Arabidopsis thaliana: one gene and its partner. The main gene of each other region encodes a partner of the protein of the gene in region 2 in a complex. Each region holds a gene or a part of one and is shown on either strand. Other genes may lie near its edges.

Region 1 (5,505 bases), on a different chromosome or scaffold from region 2:
TTATCTGTGATAGAGGCAAAATACGGAGAAACCAGCTAAATGGTCTTGACATAAGGGTACGTTAGTATTACGAGGCTGAATATAATCTTTGCCCTCTGCTATGTGGATTATTCCTTCTTTAATTCTCCTCCTATTTTCATTTGGATCTGTCCTTTCTCTTTGTTTTTAGACCTTCGTAACTATGATTTCTGTTTCCAGCTGCATGTTACCATTTCTCAGCCAAGTTGTACTTGCTGATGAGCCAGTTACTTTCCTTGAATCAGGTTATAAAAGCTCTTCTGGGAACTAGCAAAAGGAATTCTTGGTCAGAAGTTGTTCATTCCAAGCTTATTTGTATCATGACGAATATGTTTTATCAATCTCCAGAACCAGAAGGCTCTAACAAAGCAATTTCAAGTGCCTCAAATTTTCTTATCGACCAGGTCGATCTGATTGGTGGTGTAGAATACATTTTCTTTGAGGTACTAAGAAAATATAGTTTATTAGACTGAATGATCTTTCTAAACATTATCCAAATAGACACTTCGATCCCCAATGGTTTTCTAGCATATTAAGGGATTCATTTTATTGGTACAGTACTCTTTGGCAACCACTAGAGAGGAAAGAAGAAATCTCTACTCGGTTTTATTTGACTATGTGCTGCATCAAATTAATGAGGCATGCTCATCTGCTGGTCTTTCTGAGTACACTGATGATGAGATTCAACCTTTGGCTGTTCGGCTTGCTCTTGCTGATGCACCTGAAGCTTTCTACATTTCTGTTAAGCTTGGTGTTGAAGGCATAGGAGAAATCCTGCGAAGATCAATTGCTGCAGCATTGTCTGGGTTCAGCAACAGCGAACGACTTAACCAGGTAGGTTTAAACTTGTAGAATATGTTGCAAATGATCTTCTGAGGATATCTGGAAAAAAAAACTTAAATTGCTTGTCAGTCAAAGCTCTTTTCCAACTCTTTAATTTTTCCTTCTTGCAGCTTTTGGCAAATATAACAGAAAAGTTTGACACAATAATAGGTTCGTTTACTCACCTGGACAAAGAGTTCCTGCATCTCAAACAGATTACCAAATCTTCCAAGTTCATGGAAAGCATTTTAGATTTAAGAAACGATATAAGCATGTCCGTGAATCTAGCTTGGGCTACTTTGCACTCTCTTCTTCATTCAGAAAGGACCACATACCGTCAAAATGGGTATATCTGGTTGGGGGATCTTCTGATTGCAGAAATTAGTGAAGAGAGCGGTGGAAGTATATGGCTGAGCATAAAAGATCTGCAACAAAAGATTGCCCATTGTGGTACCTCAGACTCTCTGGTTACTTCTGATGTACCTATTTCCATACATCTCCTATGTGGACTCTTGAAGTCAAGGAACAGTGTTATCAGATGGGGTTTCCTATTTATTCTGGAGAGGCTACTTATGCGCTCCAAGTTCTTACTAGACGAGAATGAGACCCAACGATCAACTGGTGGAGTTGCTACTCAGGACCATAAAGACAAACGACTAGAGAAAGCAAATGCTGTTATAGACATAATGAGCAGTGCTTTGTCTTTGATGGCACAAATAAATGAAACTGACCGGATTAACATCTTAAAGGTACATTCCTTAGAACCTTTCTGTTTGTCAAATATCCTACCAAAAGCCACTCTAAAGCTTGCTGATATATATAGTAACTGCTGTTCTATATGTCGAATAATTGGCGTAGAAGATAACTCTGTCTATACCTCTTATTGGAATTTTCACCCAGATGAAGTTAAATTTCACTTGTGTCTTTCTCTGTTGTTTCCAAGCAGATGTGTGACATTCTTTTCTCGCAATTGTGCTTGAAAGTTTTGTCTACTGACGAGGATGCAGTCCCCAATTCTGCGGATAGGAATAGCAAATTTGATACTTCTCATCGTAACAGCTATAAAGAAAGTGTGGATGAAGGTGACACCAAGCCTCGGTACAATAACGTCTCTGTTTCAACGTGTGAGACAGCGTCAATGGCAGCGATGCTTCTTCGTGGACAGGCCATTGTTCCTATGCAGCTGGTTGCGCGTGTGCCAGCAGCTTTGTTTTATTGGCCACTGATTCAACTAGCAGGTGCAGCAACTGACAACATTGCACTTGGTGTCGCCGTTGGAAGCAAAGGTAGAGGAAATATTCCAGGGGCAACCTCTGATATTCGAGCCACCCTGCTATTACTTCTGATTGGTAAATGCACCGCCGATACAGTTGCTTTTCAAGAAGTTGGCGGAGAGGAGTTCTTTAGGTAATTGATTGACTTTTCCATGCTTCCAAACCATAGATGATTTATGATTTATCTGTGCAACATGTTTCATGGCATTAACCTATGTTTATCTATGCAGGGAACTCCTGGATGATACTGATTCAAGGGTGGCTTATTACTCTTCAGCATTTCTTCTGAAGGCAAGAGGATTTTTCAAATTCACCATTTTGATTTTGGAAAGACATCATTGAAAGAATAATAAGTTTCCAAATATTTTTTGGCTCACCGGTTAAAATTTGGATTATTTCAGAGGATGATGACGGAGGAACCAGAGAAATACCAAAACATGCTTCAGAAGCTTGTCTTTAAGGCTCAGCAGGTATTGCTATCGTCATAATTCAGGGTGTAGATGCGTAGAACCGGAAATATCAAAGAGAACCTCAAAATCAAAGAGCTTTCTTTGTTTTGTTTCATGTATAATAATGATCCACATTGATTGTATTCTTGTTTTGTGCAGAGCAATAATGAGAAACTGCTAGAGAATCCATATCTGCAGATGTGTGGTATACTTCAGCTATCAAACGAGCTCTGAACTCGCGGCTCTCATAAGCCTCCAGTTTCTTATATATGGCTTATGTAAGTTCATCAGTTTCAGAGAATCTTAGAGAGTTACTTTAGCACCACCCTAATTATCCGCTTCCTGCCGTGAAAAGAGATGGAAGAGAATTTAGTGAAAGAAAATGACAATTCATAGAATACTGGACTCGTAGCTGAAAGTAGCAAGCAGGGGAGTCGGCAAGTCAAAATTCAGATATGGCTACGTGTGTGACATCACTTTGGCTATCTTGCACTCTTGTGATATTAAATCCTTCCTGAATTTTGGTTGAGATCTGAAGGTTCTGAAGAAAGGTGTTGATAGTAAAGAGTTGCCGAAGGGATCAACAGAAATGTGAAATAACTCGGTCCCGCCTTCTCCTTTTTCTGCGGGAATGGTGCGGCTTTAAGGAACTTACAGAAACAGTGGGTTGGTTTCTGATAATTGCCGGCATGTCATTTTTTGGGCTAACAAACTGAAGCTTTTTTTTCTCTTAGCTGTGTGTGTAAAACAAATCATGAACCTAGGCTGCAGCTCTAGAAATTTTATTTTTCTTGGAGCTCTGCTTTTGTACAGTCAGGAACAAAACCAATTAGGAGGATTGTGTTGTGTAGAGAACTAGAGATAGAGGCTTTGGGCCTTTTGGGTGTCGAATGTTTTGCTTTTAAAATGGTTATGTGATTAGTGTGACTGAACCTAACCGGTGCGTTTGTAATATAAATTCTTGTCATTATTTTGGCTGCCACTATCTGATCTGAGAAGCCACAAGGAGTTGAAGTTTACAGTTGTTAAAATCAATTTGACAAACAAAAAATCAAGAGAGAAACATACAATTACCAATTTGATCCACAGATAAATCAATTGTTAAAAAGTAATTAAATACTACTATTGGGCCAGGCCTGCAAAATAAAGACCCTCAGACATCGAAACCCTGAGAGTGAGATCCAATACTTGTTCTGTTCTGCAAATCGCTTCTGGTCCCTGGAGTCTGGAGATCTCATCCTTTCCCACCGATTCCGTCCCGATAAAACGGTAAATCTCGCTCAATTTTAAAACTATGTATATATATGCATTTCTTCTTGAGTGATCTTCTGATTCGACGACAAGTGTGTTTGATTTATGATCTGGTTAGTCTTAGACTCTTAGCTGTTCTTCTCGCGATAGAGATTGTCTCTGTGGCGGCCATCTGTGTGTGATGGTCCTTTGAATCCGTCTCTGTCGACGAGAACTGCCAAATTCTCTTGTCGGATTGTGTCACGTTTTAGGTTTTTACATAAATTCTCAACTTGTTCTCCAATGTGATCCCATAGCGGAGTGGATATCGCGTTAGACTCCGAATCTAAAGGTCGTGGGTTCGATTCCCACTGGGATCATCCCATTTTTTTGGTCTTTTTTTTTGTTGGTTATTAATTATTACTATCAATCCGTTCTTTTAGCAGTGATCAAGCGAATTTAGGTCTGGCTCTGCCTCTGGCTCTAGTTGAGTTTAGGGAGCTGCTCCTTGTTGTTTGCCATTATGGTTTCTCTACTTTGGAGTCAACTTTGCAATGTTACCCTTGTAGTCTCTTCTGTGGACTTTGTATTTGGTGAAATTGAAAAGTTTAGTAGAAATCTGGCTGCGCCAAAGATGATAGAGACTCTAATGGGATCCTTATTCGAACATTTTGCTGAACTGATTAGATACAATAAGGCAACACTGATTCCATTACTGTTAGTCTGTTACTACAAAAAGAATTGTTGCTCAAGTATTGTTTGTGTTGGTTGGTGCAGATGATCGATGATCAGGACTTGGGGTTTATTGCCAACTTTCTTGGCATCTTCATCTTCGCATTGGTAATTGCTTATCACTACGTAACTGCTGATCCCAAATACGAAGCCACTTGAGTGATGATATTTTAGAATGATGTAAGGCTTTTTAGTTTATACTAGTATTATCTGTGTTTCAAACTGAGAAGAGATAATAACAGTCTTTGTTGAGATGATAATGTTTTCAAGATGTTCCTAATCCATTTCACATCTTCTCAATTTTATATGCATGTGCATATATATGTTCCCTCCAATTATGTTGTTCGAATGTTTGATGAAACTTTGAATTTTTTTCTTTAAGCAAAAAAAAATCTCAAACACCAAAGCGAGGAGTCATTCTAGTTCAGTTTTGAGTCATTCTAGTTATTTTTACAAAGTTTTGAGTCAAATTGGGTAAATTTTTTGGTTATTTTGGTCATAAAAATAACTAGATTATCTCTTATATCTTATGAGTTAATTTGGTAAATAAACCATTTATTTGGGTCAAACTATTTTTTTCCCCATATATATATCCAATCAATAATAAATTCATAATATATTTCATTAACGCGATTGAAATACTAGTAATTAATTGAGGACTAAAGAAAAAGTAATTTCCTTTTTATCTTTAAAATGTGCAAAAAAAACAAAAATGTTAATTGGGTGATGAAATAACTTGTTTTCAAAACGGGAGTTACTATTTGACAATTTAAAAAAGACCCATCTCGAAGGAGCTAGAAGCGATAACAAAATAAAAAGGAAACAATAGTAATTAGATGGCGCAAAAATAAGATCCAACGGCTGAGATCTTTACTCGTGAACGTTCTCGAAAGCTCTTTGCCGACCCACTCTTCATTCATATATAAACAAACACCTCTCTGCCTTCTCTTCCTCACACAATCATAAACACAACAACACTC
Region 2 (7,228 bases):
CTCTTATAATATCACAATCACAAATGCTATTTCTTTTCAATAAGGTATTTGGGCTTCATTAGTAGCTGTAGCTGAACCTTTTGTTTGTCACATGTCTTTACTCTTATGCTCATCCATGTTCGTTTATATTTTTGACCCACTGTTCTGTTCTGAGACCTTAAGTGTAAGAAGAATTCTCAAGTTAATATACATCTTAAAAAGCAGTTATGAAATATAGCCGACTAAATAAATAATTAATTAAATAAATAAACAGAGGATATAGTCCATAACAAAATAAGAAATGCCAAAAAAAAGAGAGTAAAATTATTACATAAACCATTTCCACTTTAATACACTCAAAACAAAATTGATTTTAAGCCCAAGGGCTAATGGAACACTCCCAAGGAAGAGTAGGGAACCTCTCACTGTCTTTGCAATAATCGTATACGACGAGATTACGCTGCACCCACGCATAATCCATCTTCTGTGTCTTGGACAAATGCCACGCGTCGTACTGATCCCACCAATTCTCTGTTGTGGTAGAGACGCATGCAGGGAATGGATCCTTCCAACGGCAGCCTTCGACGGCGAAGTCCTTGTAAGAAGAGACGAATGGAGCTTTTTTCCAGTCAGTCTTCTCCAGACCACCACGTGTAGCCCAATCGTCAGCGTTCCAAATGCTGGAGAACAAGTACATCGGCTTCTGGTTCGGGAAGAAGTCGTTGTTTGGTACCTTATCACTGTTCTTGTATACTCGAATTGGTACCCTATCCACGAAGAACCTGGTTTGGATTGGATTAAACCGGGTTATGCATTGTACCAATCGATAAAATTAGCTTTGATTGACCAATTCGGTTCGAGTTGGTCTAGTTTGAGTTCTTTAAAGTTTGGTTAAGATAGGCTTGCTTTGGTCGGTTTGAACTTTAAACCAGATTGGAATTTTTGTGTCGGTCGAAATTTGAATCTGCACCATTTAAGTTTTCTCAAAGCTAAACGTAAGAAAACAGGATTGAACCTATTGTGAAATTAATCTGTAAACTGAATTATGTTATTGTGAGTGGAATGTTGGTTCTAACTTCGAACCGATCATAAACCTAAGGTTCCGGTTTCTACCCAAAATTCCCGGTACAGTTCGTGGTATCTCTATATATGTAGCCAACTAACCATTAGCCAAGATCAAGAGAGGACTTACACAAGCTGGTGGTTATTCCAAAGAATTGAGTAGGTGTGATAATCCTTGGTCGGGTCGAACCAGAGGGAATGTCGCATCTCCCGATTCCCGGTTCCGTTCTTATACACATTGGTCTGAATAATGTAAGGCTGTCCGGTTCGGTTCCCTAGAAATTCGAAATCTATCTCGTCTCTCTCCGGTCCTGCCCCATTCTCCGAACACATCTGCTCAACCAAATTTAATCTAAAATAATTAATACAAAACAAAATCATTGGTTATCTTCTTTACAAAATTGAAACATTAAATAAGAACGACGGCTCACGTAGTAAGCGGTGACGACGCCGGCGGAGTCGCCTCCGACGAGCTTTAGCTTCATACTAAACCATCCGAATCTATACATGTGCTTTGTCTGAAATCCACATCCTGTTTTATTTTTTATCCAATCAGAATATTTAAACTTTCGATATAATAATCAAGAGACTAAGTTAAAAAATGTCATGTAGATTTAAGTAGGAACAGAGTAAGTATCAGTGTAATTTCGAAAGACTAGAACGGCATTGATCCTAAACCGGAAGCAAACTGGATTTGAACGTACCGGTGTCGTTATCTAAGGAAAGATTCCAGATCTCTCCATCATCGGAAGTCGTGAAGTGATTTTCAGACCACATAATGTTGAAATTATCTTCAAACGATTGTGTCGGTGTTGCTGCGATAGAGGACGACGCCATTAGAGCCGTCATGAACAAGAACAGAGCCGTCATGGCAGAACAGCTCGTTATGATCCTCCTTTCCGTCTCCATTGGTTGTCTCTACTTCGAATATTTCGAAGAGAGAGAGAGAGAGAGGTAATGCAATCTACACTTGTTCCGTGAGTGAGAAGAGTATAGAGCTTTCTTGCTTTTATTATAAAGACCGGGGAAATGACTGTTTTGACCATTAATAATTCTTTTAATATGCTATTGCGTTTAGACTTTTGATACGGTTTTTTTTCTAAGATTTTCATGTAATAATGATGTTTACGATAATTTGTAAAAGAAAGCAAAAAGGGTAAATGAAAAAGTTTAATTAAAGAAAACTAACAGTAAAACTCAATGATTTTTATGTTAATCAAGTGTAAACTGTTTGGTTATAATACACACGGTTTAGCTAATTAAAAGCCGACCGGTTTATTCATTAAGTTGCTGAGATAGGTCATTTGAACCATATTGATGAGCTAGCAAGGGTACTATAGGAAATATAGAAAACAACAGCAGAACATGGAGAATTGGATCTCCAGGCTGCCACCAAGTGGAAGTGGGATCCATAGAAATGTTCATGTAAAAGCAAAACCAAAAACATTATTTAACTCTGTACTTTAATTCTTTGGTTAATCTTCACTTAGTAAATCTGATATGGGAATATGTCTAACAAAACCCAAATAATATAGGCGAACATGCTTCGGAACATAATATTTTGTTCAACAAAAGAAAGAGTTTGCCTTGCCTCTCTCATATTTTGTTAGCCCAAGACAAGGCACGTGAAACAAGCACGTTATGAATAAGAAAGCAGGGAAATAATACACCTGGAGTTACTAAATTATTAGGTTGACAAAGATTAGTTTATTGGATTGTCTCTTGCATAATCCGGTATTCTTACATTTTTACATAATTACTATTTTTTGTATGGATATGAATGTTTCAGATCTAAGATTGTAGACTGAGGTTTATATAATACCACAAGTATATGCAACTCGACCTTGTTACTTTAGACTATAATAGAGTAGTATTAAGATTATGATAATGACAAAAATGATTTCTTATACATTAATAATACCATTTAAATGATTTACGAGCGATGAAATAAATATGCATGGTCTAGTTTTATGTAAACTCTCTAATCCATGTATGAGTCTCTCTTTTTTGTATTACTAAGTGGTTTCTCATATGTTTCCTGTAAAAGAATCTCAACTTGTCGGCATGTCGGTCCTAATAAGAGAAACCAGAAGTGATCATCAATTTTATTGTTAATTATAGAATGTTTAAGTTTCACATATCATACAACAAGACAGTTTGGCCGAGTGGTCTAAGGCGCCAGATTTAGGCTCTGGTCCGAAAGGGCGTGGGTTCAAATCCCACAGCTGTCAATTTCTTTTCCTTTTTTTCCCTTCTTTAAAACTAAACCCTCTAACTCATCAAGAAGGTTCAATCAAACCTATAAACACCTAGAATTTTGAACAGTTCTTCACTTCTCCAGTATTTCCCGGCAATTCCAGATCTCTCTATCTCCTTTCTTCTTCAAATCCAATCAGAGAGTGATCTAAAAATGGTGATTCAAACGAATCTCTCATATCGTTTCTTCATCTTAATTGTGTTTTTATTTACCCTAGCGAATCCAAAATCAGATTCAGATCTCAAAAACGAACTAGTCTCCCTCCGATCAACCGCCGAATCAGGCGTGATCTCCTTCAACAACGACGACGTTTCCAAATTCATAACCTCCGTATCCACTCCTAGACCTTACTCACTCATCATCTTCTTCGACGCCGTTCATCTCCACGGCAATAGCCAGCTACGTCTTCCAGAGTTCCGCCGCGAATTCAGACTCGTCTCCGCCACTTTCATCACCAACAACAACAATGAATCTAACGGCACAAAGCTCTTCTTCTGCGAGATCGAATCAACTCACTCCGAGGCTTCTTTCCGCCGCTTCGCCGTCGAGTCACTACCACACATTTCCCTCGTTAGCCCCACGACAGAGAATTTAACAGAATCAGATCAAATGGACGGTGGAGATTTCACTGGATTAGCCGAATCAATGGCAGAGTTCGTCGAACGTCAAACAAAACTCACCGTTTGTTCAATCCAACGACCACCACTCATATCAAAGACACAAATCGGAATCATCGTTGCTATAATCATAATCTCGACTCCGATTCTCATCAAGAAGATTCTAAAAGGAGAAACACTTCTCCATGACCATAGAATCTGGTTAGTTGGCGCGGTTTTCGTCTACTTCTTCAGCGTCTCGGGGACAATGCATAACATCATTAGAGAAATGCCAATGTATATCAAAGATTATGAAGATTCAAGTAAGTTTGTTTTCTTTATAGAAGAATCAGAGATGCAGCTTGGAGCAGAAGGTTTCTTTGTAGGGTTTTTGTATACTGTTGTTGGATTGCTTTTGGCGTTTGTTACTAATGTAGTTGTACGAGTCAAGAAACTCGATGAGCAAAGGATGGCTATGCTTTTGGCTCTGTCTATATCGTTTTGGGCTGTGAGGAAAGTTGTTTACTTGGATAATTGGAAGACTGGTTATGAAATTTACCCATATTGGCCATCGAGTTGGCGGGGATGAGTGATCTTCACGTAAGGTTAGTTTTTCAAGATTGTGGAACTGATTAGTTAGTGTTTTGGCTTTCAATACTTGAACATGCATATAGCCAAGTTTATAGTTTAAAGATTCAATAATTGCAGTTTAGGATTCACGAATTTGTGCTAACTAGAGGAATGATTGCTCGAAGACTTATAATGCTTATGGTGTTGCTTTGCATCCATTGAGAAAGAGTACTCTACCAAATAATCGTTGCTTTACTATGTGTGAAGGTTTGGAAAAAGATTGTATGCAATACTTGACCCACAAGAAACCTTCTTAAAAGTGAAAAGATTCTCTCTTTGTTCTTTTCTTCCAGCTTTGTTTAAAGTTAAGCATCTAATTCCTTCACACCCTAGAATTTAATTACTTAAGAGAGCTCATGTTAATATTACTACTGTTTGGTTTTGCTAAGAAAATCAATTTTATTTTGGAAATTTTGACTATGGCAGAGACAAATAAAGGAATTGAAGAAGAAGTGGCAAGTGCTTTTGTGAATCACTACTACCATCTCTTTGACAACGATCGATCATCGCTTTCTTCTCTCTACAATCCCACCTCTTTGCTCACTTTTGAAGGCCAAACGATCTACGGCGTGGATAACATCTCCAATAAGCTTAAACAACTTCCGTTCGATCAATGCCATCATTTGATCAGCACCGTCGATTCTCAGCCGTCTTCAATGGCCGGTGGATGTGGTGGAATCCTAGTTTTTGTGAGCGGTAGCATCCAATTACATGGAGAGGATCATCCTCTTAGGTTTAGCCAGGTCTATCTCTTATCTATTTGTAATCGATTCGAAGGTTTCATTTGGTTAAAACAATCTTAGGTTTAGCTTAATCGATTTGCATAAAACAAAATGTTATTTTCATTGTTTTCTAGTTTCCATCGGTTTATCTTGGACCCCCGCTATAACAATCTTCAATTTTTAATGTTGTTACTAAATTATATGAATCAAACTATAAGCTATATAGTATGAGCCTGTATTATTTTATTTTTGTTGGATTTTTAGCTGACTTGAATAATAACATTATTTATTAATTGCAGACGTTTCACTTGATTCCGGTTCTGCAAGGAAGTTTCTTCGTCCAAAATGAGATGTTTCGGCTCAACTATGGTTGAACTTATTATAACTTTAATGTTTGTAATCGATTGATCTCTCTTATACGCCGAAATCCAACTGATAATGTAGTCAAATATTTTATGAAAATCTATCGTTTATCTTGACTAGTAAAACATATTGACTTTTTCTGTTATTTTCATATATGTAAACAAGTTTCGAGTTATTGAAAAACATTCGGCAATTATAGATTGGAAAAATCCATACAATATAAGACTATTAGTGAACGTAGATTCACATGATCCACTTTTTTAAAAAAAGCCGAATAAGACTTTTCTCTGCTCTCATATAATCTCGTCCACTCAATAGTTATTAAAAATAGGGATATCTCTGTGTATTTTAAAAATAGTGAAAATTGACGAAAAAATCGAACAAATATGAGGCTACTACTATCTTTTGACTCTTGACCATTCTCTTTTACTCAAAAACATTTCCTTCTCTTCCACGAAACCATTTTTCTCTCTCTCCCTTTTCCTGATCAACTTCTCACGAACTACAATATGAAGAACCGGAGCAAAAACTTAGCCACCCTGAGTTTGATGATAATTACGTTATTGACATGGTCGGATATCGTAGTAGGACAAGAAGCACTACTAGGAAAGAAAGTATTGCCGCTATGCCACAGAGAATGTATGCCAATATGCATGAAAGTGATCGAAGCCACGCAAGACATTTGCGAACCTGCATGCCAATCTGGTTGTCTTCAGCTTCAAGGTAGAGGCACCGGACTTTCAGCTTCCGATCAAGGAGTCGATATGGTCATTGCATAAATTAATATCTTTACCGGAAAAAGAAATCAAGATTTTGATATTACCAACATAGTTGCTTGATGTCGTTCACATGAATAGATTGTAAAATAGGGTTTCATATTTTGTATGATAAATGCATCATCCAATCCCTCCAAAACTAAAACAAAATGTAGTTAATCTACAGAATCCGACATCGTATACAATTTTTGTTTTTATAATTCATGGGGACAAGAAGAAGATCCCTTATGTGTTCGTCTCTTTATCTCATGATCAATCCTAAGATCATTTTAATTTATTAAATAAAATTACAGGTTAGCTTACAAACAAACAGTATATATATTGATACAAATCCAACGTCAGAAGAATTCATAAATAAATATCGATCGAGTGAGAGACAGTTTATAGTTCTTCTGAATTATTTTTGCAACAAAAACATAACAAAAATTATTCGTCACAGGGGTTATGACATTTAGCAAAAAAAATTACTTTGTCATAACCAAGTTATCTTTATCTCCGTTGTTATTTTAAATTGAAAAAAATGGATGACATACTAGTAATCTAGTATTTTCATAATTTTCAATCAATATGTATTCATTGATCGTTTAGGATAATGTTCAATTCTGGAATTTTGAACAATCATATAGCTCGTTAAACACACACAGAAAACAAATGGCTAGTAAATAAAACGATATGTCCAAAATATTCTTGCCATATTAAATTTAAAATATTTTGAATTTATTTGTCTGAGATGTTTATCCCCAAGCCCCCAGCTCTATACTAAGATAATGAAAAGAATATGGCCACCAATTATGCATTGCTTAGAATAATCGCACCAGTTGCGTCGTCTGTAAATGCATCAAC

The links. The genes of interacting proteins can lie anywhere in the genome.
Region 1: AT1G11560 (region 2) and AT3G12587 share a complex: the UniProt entries of both Arabidopsis thaliana proteins name them as parts of the oligosaccharyltransferase (OST) complex.

Annotation. Positions count from the first base shown.
Region 1 is NC_003074.8:3,993,765-3,999,269, reverse strand, and holds AT3G12587 (Oligosaccaryltransferase), read left to right. Parts: upstream 1-3,598; 5' UTR 3,599-3,832; intron 3,833-4,100; exon of another isoform or gene 4,101-4,173; intron 4,174-4,570; coding exon 4,571-4,684; 3' UTR 4,685-4,930; downstream 4,931-5,505. Other genes in the region: AT3G12590 (uncharacterized protein), read left to right, coding at 1-56, 264-461, 577-852, 972-1,589, 1,787-2,247, 2,345-2,405, 2,516-2,584, 2,723-2,797. UniProt on the Arabidopsis thaliana protein: Subunit of the oligosaccharyl transferase (OST) complex that catalyzes the initial transfer of a defined glycan (Glc(3)Man(9)GlcNAc(2) in eukaryotes) from the lipid carrier dolichol-pyrophosphate to an asparagine residue within an Asn-X-Ser/Thr consensus motif in nascent polypeptide chains, the first step in protein N-glycosylation.
Region 2 is NC_003070.9:3,878,337-3,885,564, forward strand, and holds AT1G11560 (Oligosaccharyltransferase complex/magnesium transporter family protein), read left to right. Parts: upstream 1-3,290; 5' UTR 3,291-3,451; coding exon 3,452-4,483; downstream 4,484-7,228. Other genes in the region: XTH8 (xyloglucan endotransglucosylase/hydrolase 8), read right to left, coding at 353-761, 1,172-1,374, 1,473-1,573, 1,746-1,950; NTL (NTF2-like protein), read left to right, coding at 4,881-5,267, 5,546-5,620; AT1G11572 (Plant thionin family protein), read left to right, coding at 6,119-6,388. UniProt on the Arabidopsis thaliana protein: Subunit of the oligosaccharyl transferase (OST) complex that catalyzes the initial transfer of a defined glycan (Glc(3)Man(9)GlcNAc(2) in eukaryotes) from the lipid carrier dolichol-pyrophosphate to an asparagine residue within an Asn-X-Ser/Thr consensus motif in nascent polypeptide chains, the first step in protein N-glycosylation.